Drosophila melanogaster: one gene and its partner. The protein of the gene in region 2 purifies or fractionates together with the protein of the main gene of each other region. This does not show direct contact. Each region holds a gene or a part of one and is shown on either strand. Other genes may lie near its edges.

The links.
Region 1: the proteins of CycK (region 2) and Cdk12 purify together in Drosophila melanogaster (affinity purification with mass spectrometry; 2 studies listed by BioGRID). This does not show direct contact.

What each region holds. Positions count from the first base shown.
Region 1 is NT_037436.4:21,514,698-21,524,626, forward strand, and holds Cdk12 (Cyclin-dependent kinase 12), read left to right. Parts: upstream 1-1,608; 5' UTR 1,609-1,957; intron 1,958-2,489; exon of another isoform or gene 2,490-2,552; 5' UTR 2,553-2,884; coding exon 2,885-3,093; intron 3,094-3,148; coding exon 3,149-4,002; intron 4,003-4,060; coding exon 4,061-4,220; intron 4,221-4,413; coding exon 4,414-5,641; intron 5,642-5,704; coding exon 5,705-6,093; intron 6,094-6,384; coding exon 6,385-6,858; intron 6,859-6,924; coding exon 6,925-7,084; 3' UTR 7,085-7,459; downstream 7,460-9,929. Other genes in the region: Sak kinase, read right to left, coding at 42-810, 864-959, 1,019-1,054. UniProt on the Drosophila melanogaster protein: Cyclin-dependent kinase which displays CTD kinase activity: hyperphosphorylates the C-terminal heptapeptide repeat domain (CTD) of the largest RNA polymerase II subunit, thereby acting as a key regulator of transcription elongation.
Region 2 is NT_033779.5:22,121,202-22,131,869, forward strand, and holds CycK (cyclin K), read right to left. Parts: upstream 8,942-10,668; 5' UTR 8,523-8,941; coding exon 7,320-8,522; 3' UTR 3,739-7,319; coding exon of another isoform or gene 3,581-3,738; 3' UTR 3,084-3,580; downstream 1-3,083. Other genes in the region: CG3651 (uncharacterized protein), read left to right, coding at 671-979, 1,050-2,480, 2,540-2,827, 2,889-3,015, 3,581-3,738.

The DNA of each region.
Region 1 (9,929 bases), on a different chromosome or scaffold from region 2:
TTCTACTAGCAAATGTACATTGTAAATTCCTGAATAATTACTGCTAGCAAATGTTATGATTCCACTATCGCCACTTTCCATACTCTGGCTGAACACATTCAACGCTCCCGGCGCAGAGTGTCCACCATTTGAGCATTTCAACATAAAGGGATGGCAGAGAACAGCCTCCAGGGTAATTCGTTCGTGCGGGAGCTTTTTTAATAATTTGTTTATCAGGTCCTGCGCCTCGTAAGACAAGTGAGCCGGCATAATGTACTCGGACATCACAACTTTGTTAAGGGTTGACTGCACTGCATCGGTTTCGAAGGGCGGGCGTCCAACCAGCAGGGTGTACAGCATGCATCCAACGCTCCAGACGTCCGCGGGCAGTCCGTGAGACGTTCGCGATACCACCTCAGGCGAAATATAGTTCGGAGTTCCACACATGGTCATATGGCGCTCATCAGGTCGCTTTAATTGGGTGGCCAGTCCAAAATCGGCTATCTTGACGTGCATTTCCCTGCTAAGCAGTAGGTTGGACAGCGAAATGTCGCGGTGCATGATGTTGTGGGAGTGCAGGTACAAAAGTCCCGCCACCACCTGCTTCAGAATGGAAGCAGCTTCCGTCTCTGTGAAGGGTCTGGCGATGTGGTTCATATAGCGATGAAGCTCCCCATTATGGGCCAGCTCGAGCACCAAATACACATAGTTGGCGTCCTGAAAGAAAGTGTACAGCTGAAGCACAGAGGGATGCTTCAGGCGGGAGTGGATTTCCACTTCCTGGCGAACGCGGTTAGTGAGTCCAGTGCCCTGGATTAGTTTTTTATCGATCTGAAAGCCAGTTTGTGAGTAATACCTTTAACCAACACTATAGCAGTACTTACCATCTTTATGGCCACATCCTGGTGAGTGTGCAGGCACCGCGCCTTGTAGACGGTCGCAAAACCACCTTTACCCAGCAAGTGCTGTACTTCATAGTCCTGCAAAGACAAACAGCGCTTAAAAACTCCGTCCGACTGCCGCCTTCCAGCACACCCACCTCAATTGTTTCTCCAAACGCCCGATTGGATAACATAGCTAGCCTTTTTTCTGTAGACTTACTGAGCCACTTGGAATGTCTTGTTGTTATTTATCAAAAAACTAAAGCCATATAAACAAACAAGCCGAACAAAATTTAAACGCCACCGTTAGTGTTGGGAAATTTTAATGCCACATTAGTGAAGATCATTAGCCAGCACTAATGAGGGCTGCACTATCACCAATATATTTGCGAATTTGTTACTCCAATACAATTTATTTCTTGTTTAAAGAATATTTCACAAAATTATGATATTAATCATTAAAAATTATTTTTATATACGAGTTGATAAGTAAAAGTCAAACTATCAATAATGGCTTCAAAAACAATCATTGCCAGCACTCCCCAGTGTTGCCAGAGCTAATAAAGTATATTTATGAGATATTTATATAAAAAATATTGTTCTCTTTATTTGAACTAAATAGGTGATACATTTGAAAAAAAAAACTTGCTTAGGGCTCAATATTCCACCAACAGCATACTTAAATGCACTCTTCGATCATAGCGTGTTCCCACTGCACTAGCAGTTAATGCAGCCCTGGTGATTAATCGCCGAGAATATTGCCATCCGTTGCAAATGCAGAGAATCATGGCAAAATTATTCTTATGGTTTTACTACCGAAACAATGCCTAATGAGATATGTAACTTGCATTTGAACAAATTCTCTTATATTTAAACCGATCCCACAATAAGCTGAGCCCATTTTCGCGTAATGAATATAATTCGAAATCATAAACAACGTCGGAATATGAGACTCGATAGCCGTGTTATTTAATAATTAAAGGAGTTCAGCGAGTGCGTGCGCCGAGAGTCGTAATAAAGAACAACGTAAGCCGCCAATTTTGCCGGCAATAAAGTTATTAAGAAGTGGTGTTTACATAATTTACTCCCAAAAATTGGTAAGTCCGCAGCAAAGAAAATAAAGTGACCCACATACTTACATTGATACTTATGAATGCATGTATGTATATGAGTAGGTGTTTGCCTTATACATGAAGGCACGCAGACAACCTTGGACTCTCACACACGTCAATGACAAGCAACAGTGCAAAAGTAGTGCTGGAAAGTGTCCTCGAAAATCCTTAATGTCTATTTTAAAATCTATTTTCCTAAGTATCTGAAATTTCGTTTTATAATTGCAATTATCCATCAGCTTCTACGCCACTTCCTGGAACTTTCGCTATCCCCCTTGTTATATTCTTCAGGGTAGTTCATACATGAGCAAGTAATTTAGTGCCAGCAATTAAAAAAGTTCAGATCATGTTTAATCATTTTTCAAAGGGCAATATTCTTTTAGTTTTAAAGAACAAACCAAAATAAAAAAAAGTTTGTTATTTTCCGCAAACACCTACAGTGTGACCAGCGTCTTTGGTCGGTTAAATGACAGTAACACGCGTTCTTCCGCCTTTTGCCCCATACCATTTTCGGTCACACTTGCCACTTCATTATAACCTTAAAATGACAAGTTATAAATTTTTTTTATGTTAATTTTAGTGGAAACCGAACACTAGATTGACTTTTAAAAGCTGTGCCGCAGTGTGCCGAACTTTTTCGATAGTCTGGGCATCTTCGGCGTCTTAAACTGGCACATATGCAAGATAATCATGTAAAGAAATCGTCACACGAATATGTGCTTGTGCTGGTTGGCAGCGATGTAAATAAAATTTAAGCTGCTCCCGAGTAAAATCTTGCCGCAAAGTAAAAAAACTTAAACGCCGAAGTGCCACTTGTAGCAAAAGTTCGCGGACAGCGAAGTCTCAGCACGAACCGTAGAGAACTGAGCGTGGGTCTGCGAGTTCTCCAAGTCCAACCGCCAAGACGCTAAGATGCATGCATCCTCCGCGGCGGCCACTGCACTTGTGGAGTACTCGGACGTCAGCTCAGAGGACTTCTCGGATCAGGAGGCAGGGGACTTGGATGCGGACGCCGGCAAGGGTGCCGGAAACATCAAAAAACCGAAGCCAGCTCCGGATAATCAGTTCTCCAAAGGTCGTCTTGATGCCAAGCCCGATAAAGAGGGTTATGATAACTACAGGTAAGAGAAGGAAAATTGATGTATAAGCGACGGTAACTACAGCCCCTCCATGCAGAAGTAGAAGGGCGGAAGACTCAAGCGACCCAGTGGCGGCCGGATCGAGGCAAACGTCTAGCAGCGAGGCCACGAATCCGCGGGAGGAACCTTCGCAGGCATCCAACACCTCGAAGGACGAGCTGTGGGGCAGAGAGATATACATGTCCAGCGATTCTATCGACACCGATGAGCTGGAGGCGGAAATGAAGCGGCAGAAGCGCAAAAAGCAGAAAAAGGAAAAACACAAACACAAGTCGAAGAAAAAGTCCAAGAAGCGCAAGAAGAAGCGGGCCAAGTCATACTCCAGCATCGATTCGATGTCAGACAATGACATCAATGCCTTACTGGACCGGCGCTATACTCCGCCGACGGCTCCTAGCAAGAGCAACGAACGGACGGTTAGCGCTGCGCCGTCCTCCTTCACCCCACACAACCTCAAGGAGAGCAGTTCGCCAGCCACTCCACCGCCAGTGCGTCGCCCGAATACGAACAGCAACTACTACGGCGAGTCGTCCCTGGAGACGGCCAACTCTGCACTGGGAAGCAACCTGCAGGTCACAGTTACGAATAAGCAGTCGATCAGCAACCGGCTTCGTTCTCCTCCTCCGTCCTCCCGCTCCAGCGGCAACGGGCCGAGGTTTGGAAACTCCCCGCGAACTCCACCGCCCTCTCACTACAGCTCCAGTGGCGGAGGAGGGGTTGGCAGTGGGTCAGTGGTCCGCGATTCACGCAGCTCCCGCTATGTAAATAGTCCCCACAAAGAGGATGTAAGTGCGCATCACCGCTCTAGCCACGATCACGGATATCAGGGACGTTACTCTGGTGCTGGGTCGAGCAGTCACGATACCAGGAAGGTGAAACGACTGTCGCCGGGTAAGTTTGATTTTAATTAAGGCAAATGTGGTTTACTTACTTTGGAAAACTGTGGCAGAGCTGGACCGCTACAACCATCAGCCAAGCACGCCACCCCACAAGCGTCGGAAGTTTAGCGATGGCAGGGAAGTGGGCCTCGGAAACTTTGAGCACAGTAGACACCACTCTGGAAAGTACGAACGATACAGCAGAGATCGATATTCTAGGCGGTCATCAAGGTAACGTTTTTCCTATATTTTATGTGAATAGCTCTAATTACCTACTGACTTCGCTTATTATTAAATACTTTAATTATTTTTGAAGTGTACATATGTGAGTAGTGCAATGGTAATTAGAACTAATTATTTAACTGAAATTGTATTTCGTTATTATTCATATATCTAACAATACAATTTTCCAAACTATATCAAGGAGCCCCAGTGTGCAGCACTCACGAAGTCGGCAATCTCCCAGCGGCGGCCTGTCAAGTGGTTCGAACGCGTTTCGCCATGGTGGCAGTCACAAACACAAGTATGGGACCACTGTTAGCTCGACGCCGTCGCATACGACGAGGACCTCAAAACGCGCTTCGGGAACTGGTACCTCTGGCGATCGCTACTCGAGGTCGCCCAGAACAAGTTCGCGGTACATGGAGTCATCACCGCCATCGCCAGTCGGAGCTTCCGGTTCGCATCACTATCATCATCGCCGTTCGCCAAGGATGCGCCAGAGGACCAGAGGCGACAGTCGTCGCCGGTCGCCCAGTTCGGCCAGCAGCGAAAGTTCTGCCTCTCGCAGCCGATCACCAACGTCAAGAGATCTAAAGCACAAGCGCGAAGAGTACATTAAGAAGATCAGTGAGACTAGCCTATTTGCCGAGCTGGTAAAGGATCGTCACAAAAGGCAGAAGGCGCTGAAGGAAATCATTGAGCGGCAAGAGGAGAACAGCAATAGCAACAGCAACGGTGCACTGACTATTAACGACAACAGTTCCTCCGTGGATGGCAATACACCCAACGCGGCTGATGGCCGATCTGCCCCTGGAAGTGGAACACCAGCAGCGGCGTCAACAACTTCCAATGGGCTTCAAGCTTTGGGTAGCAAGCCGGATCTGGACCTCAACAACATTCCCATGCCAAACAAGCAGAACGATTCTGTGGTTTCGAATCCGGCTTCAAACGCCGATGTTCCGGACAGTGTCGCGCAGTTGAAGCAACCTTTGCTGGTGCCACCGTTCTCGGCTAGTAAGAACAACATAAAACCGAAGAGCCTGACTTCTTTGCCGCTGCCGCCGGGTATGAATGTGCTCGACTTGGCCGGTGCAAGGTCTCCCTCTCCGGGGCAAAAGAAGGAATCGGACGAAAAGAACGTTACTTCAAGCGGCAGCGCCAACAAGAGCGTGCTCAATCTTCCTATGCCGCCAGTAATTCCCGGCAGCGAAGAGCTTAGTGGCGATGATGATGTTATCGACAGTCCTGAAGACTTTGATGCACCCGCGGTTGGCACTGTGCACGGTCACGGTGGTGGGCCAGGGACAACTCGTCAGCGCCCAGTGATACTCAACCGTCGTGACTCGCGAAACAACGTACGCGACTGGGGCGAGCGCTGTGTGGATGTTTTTGAGATGATTGCGCAAATAGGGGAAGGAACTTACGGACAGGTAAAAATGGGATGCTTGGTGGATCTTTTGATTAAATCTGATTTTCTGTCATTTGCTTTGCAGGTTTACAAGGCGCGGGATCATCATACCAATGACATGGTAGCACTGAAGAAGGTTCGGCTGGAGCACGAGAAGGAGGGCTTTCCCATTACAGCTGTTCGTGAAATCAAAATTCTGAGACAACTTAACCATCGCAATATAGTCAACCTGCATGAAATTGTGACGGACAAGCAGGATGCTGTGGAGTTCCGTAAAGACAAGGGATCCTTCTACTTGGTGTTTGAGTACATGGATCACGACTTGATGGGTCTGCTGGAGTCTGGCATGGTCGACTTCAACGAGGAAAACAACGCAAGCATTATGAAGCAGCTCTTGGACGGCCTCAACTACTGCCACAAAAAGAATTTTCTGCATCGAGACATCAAGTGCTCGAACATTTTAATGAACAACAGGTGGGAAGATAATCATTTGGGTGGCTTATGTTGGTGGGTGGCTTAAGTGCACGAGCAGTTCCGCGCATTGCTATCGATATTACCCTTACAAACATACAAAGGCAATATTCATAACCAGCCGTCATTCTCTAATCAATATTATATTATTCTCTGATTGAGTCCAAAAAGGGATTCATTCTTAAACGCTTTGGTGTTAAATAATCCTTAAAGTTTACACCAATTTCTCAAGCATATATTTTCTAAATTTAGTTTTCTTATAATATTTATTGACAATATTGAATTACTTTGCAGGGGTAAAGTAAAACTAGCTGACTTTGGGCTGGCACGACTATACAATGCGGACGATCGGGAACGCCCCTACACGAACAAAGTAATTACCTTGTGGTATCGTCCTCCTGAGCTTTTGCTGGGTGAGGAGCGTTACGGCCCGTCGATAGACGTGTGGTCCTGCGGGTGCATCCTCGGCGAACTCTTTGTGAAGCGGCCCCTGTTCCAGGCTAATGCGGAAATGGCGCAGCTTGAAACGATATCAAAGATCTGTGGATCCCCGGTTCCTGCCGTGTGGCCGAATGTAATTAAGCTGCCTCTGTTCCACACTCTCAAACAAAAGAAGACGCACCGCCGCCGTCTACGAGAAGACTTTGAATTCATGCCAGCCCCTGCACTTGATCTGCTGGACAAAATGCTTGATTTAGATCCGGACAAGCGCATCACAGCAGAAGACGCGCTCCGGTCACCGTGGCTAAGGAAAATCAACCCCGACGAGTGAGTACACATGGTCTTAAACCCTGTGTACATCTCAAGCATGGAAATAACTTTATATTTTTGCAGAATGCCAACGCCACAATTGCCCACATGGCAGGACTGCCATGAGCTTTGGAGTAAGAAGCGCCGTCGGCAGATGCGGGAGCAACAGGAGTCGCTTCCTCCTACGGTGATAGCCTCGACCAAATACCAACAGCATGGAGCAACCATGGTGGGGGATGCTTAGCATTTGCTGTTTGCTTCGCTACTTAATGTGAAGGAGAGCTACATACAGCGTGAAGGCGAGGAGTGTTCCTGGTGGCACTAGTAACTAGCCGTAACTAGCAATAACGTAACCAATAAGGGATTCTGTTATCCCTGGACAGGGCCAGAATAGGTTGACTTAGACTTGCTCTAGCTCTGTCGAGTTAAAGACAGCTTCAATAAAGTCTTGGCTACATTTATAAAATGCTTTATATGTTGGGAAAATTGAATCAATCGCTGTATAAACGAGATGTTATATATTCGCAAAGATAAATATTTTAAAAATGATTTTATACATATTTTACTATTCAATTTAATTGCTATTAGTTTTTTTATTTTTGAATAAACTGGCAATCTGAAGACAACGTGCATGATCGAGAATAAAAACTTCGCGTAACGAAATTGTAAACTGTTAACACAGTACGTATTCGCAACAGCAAAGGCGATTTGTAAGTGACCATGTTTCAAAGCTACGAAATAAGCATATATAACGAGCAGTTAAAGATTAGCATTTTAATTATAAAGAACTTGTTAAATAATAATAGACTACAGATAGTGTATTGACTAGTTTAGTTTATTGTTAAGTATGTAAGAAAGGTGTAAATTATAAATGAATTTATCAAGTAAATATGTACTATGTATTTACCCAAGCACAGGCATTTGATAAGTTTATATTTTAATATGATGTTAGAACGCACACAGCATCAGATTTACTTTGCATGATGTGCGTGAGACTGAAATCAATTCACTTTAAATTGTGTAAATAGGTTGAACATTTCTAACATTACACACGATCAAACAAAATTACAATCTCCAAATGCAAATCAAATTGACTAAATTCATTATTGGTACATAAAATCCTACCCAAATAAAAGTTAAACATACGAAGTGTACTTTAAATTAATTGATAGCTGATTCGAATATTTTTCTCTTAATGTGAAATAGATTAAATAGATTTTGAAAGGTGTAAACGGTTTTCATTTAAGAAATCAATTACCAAGTGGGAAATTGGTCCTAAAGTTATCCATTTTTTCTGTGCCAGGTTTTTAAGACTAAGATATGATCAATCACTTTACAGGAAAAAAATTTTTTTTTTAATAGAAATAGTTTTTGTCACAAATGTATTCAACATATTATTAAACAAAAAGTTTCAAAAGAAGGGCCACCAAAATTTATGTAAAATTTTCTATAGCTGTGCCGTTAATTACTTAAAATTTAATTATATTTCAAAAATAATAAAAAATCATGTGGTATAGTTAAGTTGAGTTAGAAAAAGTGTTCATTTAAATTTGAAAAGCATATTAGCGATACGGCCACTCAAAGTAAGAAATCTGGTATTTTTATCGTTCGTGAACAAACGAAGTGATTCGGTATTTTCGAAAGGTCCCACTAAGTGCAGCATATATATAAATGCGTTTCATCATCAGATTTGTATGTATATTGTGTCAGTTCGCCTTTGTTTTTTAATTGCTAGTCCGTCAATTAAGAAATGCTTTTACGGTGTGTGTCCAACTAATCGGGATAACCTTTCCTCGGGACGAGCCCACTGGAAGGGCTGTTTGGGAGCATAAACAATGGAAAGGGTTGCATCTGTGGGAGCGTGTATGTTTGTATACGTATACCCACACCATTGTTACGATGCACCTGGAAGGCCAAAAGAGAAATGCAGTGGAAAGTGTATTGTTGCAGTGTGTTAGCGATCCTGGCCAGCTGAGTGGCTGCGCGGATTAGACACAGTGCTATCCGGTTCTACACAGATACTGGCGATCCAGGGTTTGGCCTGGTGTCTAGACATTTTGAAAAGAAAGTGAGGAAAACAGTGTGTGCGTGTATGTAAATAGATGTATTTTCCCATTCCTTTGTACCGAAAACAAAGCAAAGTTGATTAATACGAGCTAAGACAGTCGGGGGCGAAAGTATTGGCCAAAACAGATTCCTTAAATTTCTCTCTTCTCAAGTGCTCCAAAATAAGCTTATCGTCAAACTTTAGCTGCTATCTGTTATGACGTAGTAAAATTTGTAAGATTTTAAAATAAGGTTATTCATTGTTGATGTCAAACTTTTACGATTCCTGATAATTTTTTGCATATGTCCAGCTATTTTAGGAGACTAATATTTCTTGCAGTACTGAATTTAATTAAGGGATAGTTACAATTGCGTTCTATTCCACAACAGACCCCATTGTTTGAAGTCTATGATATGGGGGTGCACTTTTGCTGGTGGTGTGGGTGAACCAGTTTTCTCCCATGGAGCATTAAAAATTATAGAGGTAATTTTACAGTCCAAAAAAGAAATCGCATGAGTATGAGTAAGAAAACTCCATAACCTTTAAATGCGACACAATCAAAACAAAAGTGTTGTCGAAATTTCAATACAAGTCAAGACTAGTTGAATCATACTAAATGTGTTAAACAGTATAAAACTTTAGCTTTGAGATAATATAATTTAACTTTTCTAATTTCCCTCGGTTTCCCAAGTATATGAATGAAGCCATGCCAACATTTTAGTCAACGACTGTGCGGCCATCAGCTAGGGATGTACATACGCAAGTAAAATGCATGTACATTGCACTTACACATGTATATACATACAAATGTAATGTGTAGGAAAAAAAAGAGCCGAATGAAAATACCCTTGATTTTGATATTGATTGATTTTGACTATTGACGAGATTAGCAGACTCGATAAGTGGCTCTCTCATTTTTGGGTAGTAATATTTGTAAGGAAGCTTTTAAACAAGATACACCACAAACTGCACTTTCCATAGCAGCGGGTTAAAGGTCGAACCACGAAACAAAGTTACATATAAAGCCCCAAATGAGGCATTA
Region 2 (10,668 bases):
TTTGCTCATTTCTATCGATACTAAACCTAACTAAAATACGATAGGAAGCCTAACTTAAATGATCAAAAAATTATTTTACCATATCTTTGCCATTTCATTCAATATATTGAAAGGGTATCTGATATATGTGGAAATTCTTTTGTATTAGCTGTTAAATACGCCTATTGTCAGAGGAGTCCAGAAAAGCAATAAATTGAAAGAGATCAAAACTGGTGAATACTATTTGTCGTAAATTTAGCTCACCTGGTATATATATCATATATAATTATTTATTTATTTATTTATTATGATAGGTAGAATAGTTTACAATACTAGACTAACTTAAATAGTAAGCATAAGCTACAGCTATATTGATCTACAATGCTATTATATCTTTATCTACTTTATATCTAATTTGCTAAATATATCATATATATGCCTTTTTATCCTCTTCCGTTGCAGCGAAAACTTATTATACAAGAATAAAGAATCCGCATAATCTTTTTACTGAAACAATTAGCTTTAAATTAGTTGCCTTGCATTTTATCATTGAAATTGTTAACGTTCACGCATCAATTGGGCTGTGTGAATAGGTCGCATAATTGTTTTGGCATTAATTATTTTAAGAGGCTGTCGACGGTTTTTTTTTACCGTTATGCCATCTGGTAACACTGCCCAGGCCGCAAATGGAATGGATTTTCGAGAGCTAGATAAATTAAACTGGCGTTTGCATCTGAGTAACAATAACAATATCGTTAATTATAGTGCGAACCGACACCTCGGTCCTGATGCGGCTGAAGAGCGACGCCCGGAGCTCTTAGTCAGCCAAGTCAATTGTGGGACCGGTGTAAATACAATGGGCACAAATCAAAAACGAGCAGCAACAACATCAGCGCAGGCCGTAGCGGTGGACGAGCAGGTCGTGGGAGCCGTGGGTGGTGGCGGGGCAAAGGCAGAGGAGTGCCCTGCAGCGACCATGGCCGCAGAGGATGGTGATAAGGCAAGTGACTGCCGCTTTAAGCACAAAAAATTATGTTGATTATGTTATGTTCTGTTTATCCTTTAAAAAGGTGGAAAGTCCTTCTTACTGCGAACTGGATCTGGACGTGGCAAGCTACGGGCTAGCAGCAGCTGCCCTCTCATCCTTTGAAGCCGCCGCCTGTGGCTATAATTCCAGCCGAACTTCCATAAACAACTCAACCGAAAACCTGAGCTATGCCAGTGACAATATTTACGGCGACGATATAATTTTGCTGGACGACAACGACATGAACGCGGAGGAGATATCTATCAACTCCGACGACTGCGTCTACGCTTACCGTGGTGAAGGGGCTGATTTTGACATGAACATGGATATCATCGCCACGGGAAGGGTTGGCGGGCAACACTTCGACCTTGGCCGAGGACCAGTGAATGCTATGGGAGGCGATAGCCTCATTTACGGCGAAGATGAGACGGAGTTTCTTGAAATGGACTTTGAGCCAGACCCCTCATCAGAGTTGGAGCTTGTTGGCGGAACCACCGATATGACCATCCAGCCTCAGGCCAATTTGTTGTTAATGCAACGCGACTATAGCCAAATGAACAGCATAGGCGGAACTACTTCTACGCAGGAAGGAAAGCTGCACAGCTCGCCCATAGATGATTTTCCGCAGGAGGACCTAATGCAGCAGCAAAAGCTACGCCTTAGTAAGAAGTTCGCGCGCATCAGCTTGAATTTAGATAAAATCAAAGACGTTGGTGCTGGTGGAAGTGGCGTGGACATAGATTTAAATGAGCTAATAGTTATTGGCTCGGAAAAGCAGGCTGAATCCTCCGGAAGCTTTCGGTCAGTGAAGTCTTATCAGGCTCATTCCTTGCCCAACACATTGCACACAGGCTCAAATTTTTCGCGCAGCACTAGTGTCCCCAGCGAACACCCAGAGCCTAAGCTGACTGGTGCTAAGCCAAAGCGTTTTTTGCACACCTCGTCTGTGATGACTAAAAGCTCCTCATATAAGTCGCGGCGCTCTCATACATCAGCTAGCTTTGATGAACGTTGCTACAGCTGCACTGATTTCCGGGCAACAACATGTCAGCAGCAACAGTCAGGGTCGAAGTCAAAGCAAGATCAAGTGCCTCCTATACTGGTGGCTCCTGCGACTGTTGGGGCTTTGACCACGTCTTCTTCGTGCACGGGCCAATTTGACTTGGGAATAACCGAGGAGAACTGCTTAGACTGCCTAGAAAAGGAGTTCTTGGCCAATACCATAGGCAAAGTCGTAGACCCGGGAACATGTCCTAAGTGTCGTAGATCAGCTGGCAGTCGGGGCAGTAGTATTTCGCTTTACTCACGGTCGGACCAGGTTCGCTGTCGAAGCGGGTCCCCAGTATACTGCTATGGAGGTCCGTTCGCCGGCTGGCACAGCTTAATAGCAACCGGAATTGTTTCTGGTTCCAATTTGGGTCCACCCTGCAACCAAAGGTTTATTTCGTGTGATAATAGTTTCAACGGTCTACAGGTATGTAAACGCATGCTATAATAATTGTGTATAATGAATTTACCCGCTCTCGCGAATAGCTCCTCAATCAAGGCTATCTGACTGAGCCACTGGTGGCAAGTCTGTCTACAGGAAAGACGTGCGACGAGGAGCACCTAGTGCAAGCGCTAGATAAACTGCGCGTACCCTATGACAGGGAGCTACTTCATGGCTATTTCAAGCAATTGGCCAAGCGGCGACGGACGGAAAGTAGTGTCAATCTCAAGCAGCTATTAATACAGGCCTCAAAGCAGCAGGGAAACCATCGCAAGCTCAAACGGTTGATCGAGATGGCGACCCACCAACAGCTTATTGTACAATTTAAGGGGGTAAAATCAAATACATATTGTACACACTTTTTTAAACTAATGCAACACATTTTTCAAACAGAAAGCTGCAGACAAAACTGAATGGGTGCCTATAAATGTAAGGGACATACTTAATGCCTGGGCACGTTGTCGAGATCTTTCCCTCCTTCAGCAACTAGATGACCGCTTTCATTGCGCAAACGTGATGGGTAAGATGTTCTATAGAGTTGTTTTTTCATAGTTTGTATATAAAAGTTTTACTCGGTATTGATATATTACATATTTACATATTCAGTAAGAAAAATGTTTTCTAATCATAAAATAGAACGCTATAGTCGGCTTCGCCGATTTTAAGATACCCGTTACTCAGCTAGTAGAAATGCGATCGCGAAATTTCATAATTTTTCTGGAATATCGATAGATATACAAATATATATATATGGATTAGTAAGTATTGTTACCCCTGACACAGAGACACTAAACAAGTTCTTTTCTTTAATTGTAAACTAATGAAATTTTGCCAATATACGCAAGAGGGAAGCAATTTGACCTTAATTAGGCTAGTCCGTGAGACTACATAATTGCTACCCTAAGAACTTTAGGGAAGTCAATTAATGACGAGAGAATCTTATAGTCGATTTATTCAAATTTCAGATTTCCGTTACTTAGCCAGTGGGCGTAACAATTTTTGTAAGGTTAACGCAGAATACAAGTCATTTCAAATTGTATTAAATTGTTATTTTTTTTTACAAAATAACATTCTATTTTTTTCAGGAAAGGTTGGTCACATCGTGCGTCAGGCAACAGTAGCAGCATCCACACAAGCACAGGCATCGTCGTCAACCTCCTTTTGTAAACGCACCCTGCCCGAATATTTAATGATCCCGCAGTATTACATGAGTGGGGTACTGACTCTAACCCGCAAATGTTAGGACGTATTTGCACAACCACTCATTTATTTTCACATTAAGCCGGATACACATCATCTCTCTAGAAGTGCTTAGCCCAGTTTTATTGTTTAATTTTTTTTAATAAGTCATCTTCCATATTAAATCAGGTGATCGCATGGCCGTGACCCACCGCTTAAGTCGGGTTCAAAAGTCTCTCCGCTCTAAAAAAAAAAGAAAATAAAGAAACTCAAAGTTTAGTTGGTGTTTAAAGCTCAAAAATGTTTTCTATGTAGGCCATAATATACAGGTATCAATACAAATATATGTATCTGCCTCGCCTATCAACGCCTTATATTGTAATGTGCATATTTGTTTACGGAATACGTAATACATATGTATGTATGTACATATGTACATATACATATGTAATTATACCCGTTACTTGTAGAGTAGAAAGGTATACTAGAGTCGTTGAAACATATGTAACAGGTACATAGTTTTCCGGTCATATAAGGGAAATATATAGCATTCTCTCTTGTTTTGTTATTCGAATTTTGCATTAGATTGTTTTGCTAGCGAGTGAGCGCCATGCGTTAGAAATAATTGTGACACAGAAGCCTATTTAAAACAAACATGGCCAGCAAGGGTAACATAAGGTCACAGTTTTTTAATTGTTTGACAGCAAGAATTTTTAACGACTGCAATCCAAGTGCTTAAACTTTTCTCATAAGGCTGGCTGTGTTCTGCACGTCGTTCAAGGGCCGTGACGCAACATAATTGCTACTGCAGATTTTTGGATAATATAAATAAAAATAATATAATAAAAAACATTTTCTAACTCAACTCATCTCAGTTGATCATCATCTTCCTGAATTCTTCTTTCGTCTTCGTTGTTACCCGCCTTTCGTTTTTAATCTTACTTTAGCGTTATATATATATACATGTCTGAAAACAAAACAGTATGAGATACACACCACACATATATTGGAAAAAATATTTCTCGGATTGGTGGGCCAGCTCAAAGACAGGAAAAAGGCTCTACATTCGAATTAAGACAATCAGAATTTTATTATACTCTATGCTTTTTATAAGAAAGGGATCTTGCAAGCGGTTTATAACTACATTGAATTAGCTGATAAGTTTCTACTAAGAGTTCCCTGCGTATAGAACGACATATTTCTTGCTGGTCCAAATTTTTGTGTTGCTTTAAAACTCACAAGTTAGTTTCTAGCACGTATGAATGTCACTGTTACTTTACAACGAATCTAGTATACTCTCTCTATACGAGTCACGCGTATAGTTAGTAAGCCGGCTACTAAAAAACAAATCAAGAATTTCTGCTGTTTTAAATTTAAAATTCAATCTTCTTTAATTACTTATTTAACACTTCAACGGCCAGGAGAATGTTATTTTTCAGGTAAAAGTGTTAGTCCAACACGGACTATCGTTTTTCAGGTCGTGAACGACTTACTGGCATAAACATGTTCTGTCCAGTTGGCTATATAGCATTACCACTTACCCAAAATTTGTTGTCTTACACAATTCTGTTGGCATAAGCATATTATGTGAATCTTAACTCTTACTCTTAAGTACTGTTAGATTTACTCAATAAAATTAGTTGGAGTATTGACAAGTACGATCTTAATTTATTCCCTTCGACAGAGGTGGTCCTATATCATAACGACTTGAAGACTTGAACTGTACAGAACTGTATGCCAGGCATACTAGTAGAGCACAAACAAATGCAAACTTTTAATCCAGTCAGAACTGGCTTTTGTCTTTCACAAGGTCGACAAACGTGTAGATCCCTTGACAAAAACTCAGCTTCATTGGAAGTACCATAGCATTCTGGCGAAAAACATCAACGGAAGACCTTTCCTGCAACATATATGGCAATAAGTGGGTAGTGATCAGAACACAATGTAAATTTTAGTCTAATAGATTATGCCCTAGCTTTAAACCTTAATATATAATATAAAACTTTCCTTTTCCTATTGCACTATTTATTTAGATGTGTTATTTAGCCCTTGATAAAACGGCAATAAGTAATACTCTAAAGCTTATTCATATTCTTCATATTGATATTTATATAATATTTTATTATTTCTGAGAAATTATTTCTGCATTGAAAAATTTATGTATAACCGCAAAAATATTTTGTTAATTTTTTCGTGTTTTACCACTATATTTGCAATTGTTATAAAAATGAAGTATCCGAATACCTGGTCTAAATATAGCCAACTTACGGTAAAGCAACACTAGAATAATACCAAACTAAAATTATTTTGTTTAGTTAATTTATAAATTACTAAAATTATCATAGTGTCTTTGGTGAAATAGAGGTCCTTGGACCTAGAGCGCGGGAGAACTAAAAGTCAGCTAGATCTTTTAGCGAAAAGATCGAGACGTTTGTAACGAAGCAAGTCAACGAACTGAGACAAAGTAGTTGATGTTTCGAAAGCAGAGCGCGGTAAGTATCACATCAAAGAGCCTGGTTTCAGAGAAATCGACTTTATAAAATTTGAAAGATAAAAGGAAATTAATTATTTTTAACACCATTTAAAAATTAAATTAAATTGAAGAACATCGAACAAAGTCAATAATATTATTTTCGAACATTTTCGTCTTTAGCCTGGAAAACGAAACCGTTGGCCTACGACATAATTATATTTATAATAAACATACGAATCGAGGTAGCCTGGGCAGTCGTTATTATTCCAAGTGTACCATGGGCAAGAATAAAGTCCATGGAAACTGCAAAACTGCACTGTTGTTTCTGATAGCCGAGCAATCTTCGCACACTATGTATCATTCCAAAAATTATTCAAACATCTAAAGAGTTATTATACCCATTAATCGTAGAGTAAAAGGTGCAAGATTCGTTGTAAGTATGTATGTAACAGGCAGAAGGAAGCGTTTCCGACCATATAAAGTATATATATTCTTGATCAGGATCAATAGTCGAGTCGATCTGGCCATATCTGACTTTCCGACTGTCCGTCTGTCCGTATGAACGTCGAGATCTCATGAACTATAAAAGCTAGATGGTTGAGATTAAGCATACAGTTTGCGGAGACACATAGCGCCACACTATTTAAAAATTTTTAGATTTTTCTTCGTTTTATTGTTTGACTTGCCAATTTTTATCTGCATACCAAAAACACTGGCCACGCCCCTCCTTTTACATACAAAACCCCCAAAACTGCCACGCCCACACTTTTGAAAAATTGTTCTCACATATTTCTCATGTTTATCTTCCACTGTTATAAACTTCGCCGTTACTCCAATTCCGCTTTGTCTCAACGTTTCGCCAATTTTAATAAGAATCTATTTTTGTTAGTGCCCCAATGTCCAAAATATTTTTTTCTAGTTCATTTGGTTTTATTCAGTTTTGGAAACATCATTTCAGCAAAATTCTGCTAACAAGTACATGTGAAAGGGTAAGGACTTAAAATAAGGGAATAAAAATCATTGATAAATACCCCGGGACAATATTGGGCCTAGAGTGTAACCAAAAAAGAAAACCGAACCGTACGAAGATCCCCGCTCTAAATCCTATTCCGAACGGTTCGCTAGTTTTAATATACAAATTTTTTTTACTTGTTTATTAGTCATTGCATCTACTAGTAGCGCTGCTGCGATGGACGCCCACCGGCGTTGTAGTATCCACTGGCTCCTGGAGGCAAGCTAGGCGGCATTGGTGGTGGTGGTGCAGCGCTCCCGCTATAGTGTCCGACCACTGTCTGCTGGACTCCCCATCCGGAAGAGGGGTACGGCGGCATAGGCACTACCGGCGGGGGCGGCGGTGGAGGAGCATGATAAATGTGGTACCCGGATGGCTGACCTGGTGGTGTTGGGCCCTGTAACAGGTTCTGGGAGTCGCTAGGACCAATGATTGGCACGCCACTGGCTAGGGATTTAATGCTCTGAATGTTGCTAACTTCCAGCACGCCACCGTTGCCACATACGGGGGGCGGCGGCTGTTGTGGAACGGAAAGTGGTCCAATACCCGTAGAATTGGTAAGCTTGCCGGATTTTGGACTGTCGGCTCTGCTTGGTGGCTTTTGGGGCGGACTGGTTGGCTGGAGCGCTTCTTTTTGGGTTGATTGGTACAGGTCCAGAACTTGGTGGCAGATGTCTTCGAGTATTTCCATCGTTACATCAGACACAAACATATCCCACCAACGCTGCTGCTGTGGCTGGCGGCCCTCCCAGTCTTGCACAGTGAATTTGCTTAGCTTGCTGGCCAAATGGATAAGAGCCACGGCGATAATCTCCGGCTCCCACTGTAGACAAACTACTGTGCTGAGAGAGTCGTTGACGAAGTTCCACGCCATTTGCACCATCTTTTGCAGCTTCTGCTGGTCGCCTTTGAAACACTTAGCGTACTTTAGGAGAAAGGTGTAAGGATGCTCTACTTGCAAATCGAATTTGATGGTCTGCAGCAGAATACGCTCTAGCGTCATCACCTCCTCCTTAGGGTCGTCGCCAAACGAGTAGAAGTAATTGTCGGTAAGGATGCCACGCGCAGTTTTAATAATGTCGCGACACTTCTTTGGCGTCTCCTCCACCTTGCCAGCAAAGAACAGGCAGCAGCACGCAGTCACGTACCGGGGGAAACTCCGGAACGAATGAAACATGTAAAATCGGTGAAAATATACAACGCCGGTGGCCATCGTGTTGTGGCCCAAGCCCATTTTGGTGCCACATTCCATAATAAATCGAGCACCTTCTTTTCTGTACCGCCGCTCCGTTTCGAAGCTTATTCCATCCAAGATCGAGGGCGTCTCCCGCAGCTCCTTTTTGTCGTAATACCAGCACGGCATCGCGGCAATTTAGGCTGCGGGTACTACCAGTAGTCCGCGTCGTTGGAAGGAATTTGTGTTAAACCTTTAGCCAAATGGTTGTCAGCATATGCGCGTCCTGGAGCCGATAAGCGCTTTTGTTTATTGTAAATAAATCAGTTTTCGATTTTTATGTTCACTTGCAGTGTTACCATGTCTACGACGATGAAGAAAAAAACTTTATTGGAAGCCCCTTTTACACCAAGACCACGACGATTTTGAGTATATGGAACAACTTTATTGGTAAATAGATAACGCAAAAATTTTCGATCTCTTGCGGGTCAAACTGAATATTTTTTGTGCGTTTGCTAGTTTTGGTGACTTAATTTTGGGATATAATTAAACAGATATATTTACACGTGGTTTTGGCCGTCCTTTGACTGTTACGAGGAACAAATGGGATGTTTACACTGGAATCGCATTTCCATGTTTTGGAGATATCAAACCAAGCATAGGGATTAGTGATGGGAATTGCGCAATTTGTTTTGTTGTTAAATGGTATATTGAAATAATTCATTATGTATAATCCTACTGGATAACAAGTATTTCAATTTAAAGCATAGATAGCATTCGTTAAACATTATAAAATGTAATAACAAGATTATGAGCAGTGTAAGCGCTTTCTATTTAATAGTAATTACTTCTAGTAATGTGGTGATGAATTTATTATAACCGTTAGTCGTATTTTCGTATTCCGACCATTTAAGGTATATATATTCTTGATCAGGACCAATATCCTAGTCGATCTGACTATAATTTAATTAGTCTTTTTAATTTCTATCGATTTGTCAATAAAATTTTTGCCACGCGCACTCTAACGCCCTAATGCCACACTTTGGAACAATTTTGAAATTTTTTATCATTTTATATCCCATTATCTATCGATATTCCATAAAATTGATGCAATTTCGCGTTTGTATTCACACTAGCTGGTAACGGTTATTTGATAGCCTTGGAACTCGACTATAGTATTCTTTCTTTTATTATTAATATAAACGCGAGTGATGGCACTATAATTTTATTATGTTTCTATATTTTTTATGTTTCTATAATGTGTGTTAAATTCTTAAAAATCGATATATATCACTCAAATTACATAATAATGGAAAACCGAAACGTGAGCTTGATAGAGCGAAACAACCAAATCAGTCGAGATGCTTCTTTTTAACGTAGAAAATGTTATGTATATTTTTCTTTGAATCATGCACTTAGGCTAGTGAACATATTTTCAAACCTTACCGCTCAAGTGATCATTGACTTAAATAAAATTTTACAAAACTCAAAGAACATCCAGCAGCACGCAGACACGTATCAGGGGAAACTCAAGAATGAATGAAACACGTAAAATCGGTGAAAATATACAACGCCGGTGGGGATCGTATTGTTTTAATAATATTATATTTTTTAATGAAGTACAGATAATATGGAATTGACTTTGATTGAATTTAAAAATGTATATTAAAATTTATCAGTGATAACAAACATTTTATATTTCTTTCACCAAGTGATTCAGTATATGTATACAATTCTAGTATTTTAACTTCTATTTAACGAGCACTTAGGGAATGTGAATTTCCGTCATTCGACTGCGCCAATTGCATGCTAAGTATTTGGTTGCGGTTAACAACCAAGGCCGGAGTACCCCCAACGTTGAAAACTATCTACGTCTCACAAGACAAGCAATTACGATCTCGAACTTCAAAAAGGTAAACAAACCCAAATGTTGTGCAAATTCTAACGTTTGATCACCCCTGATCGCAGATTCCGTCTATGCGGATTGTGTTGTTATCCTGGGAAAGCTACAAATACCGCGTATAAATTTGCTATATTCGTAATTGGGTTCGAAGCTAAGCGATGCCCAGCCTACCAGTTCGGCGTACACGGAAGGATTCCCAATTGGAGAACGATGACGATCTTGGTCGTATTGCCCAAATTTATCCCACCTATGCTACACTCAGGTAGATATTTTTGGATCAGCCGCAAATTTCCTGGCTTGGCTATGTCAAATGACTTAATCGACATTTGATTTCACGGTTTTATTTATACGGACATACATACATGTATTTCATATTTTAAAATATACATATTTGCCTTATTTAAAAAATAATAATTAATGCTTACTGACTAG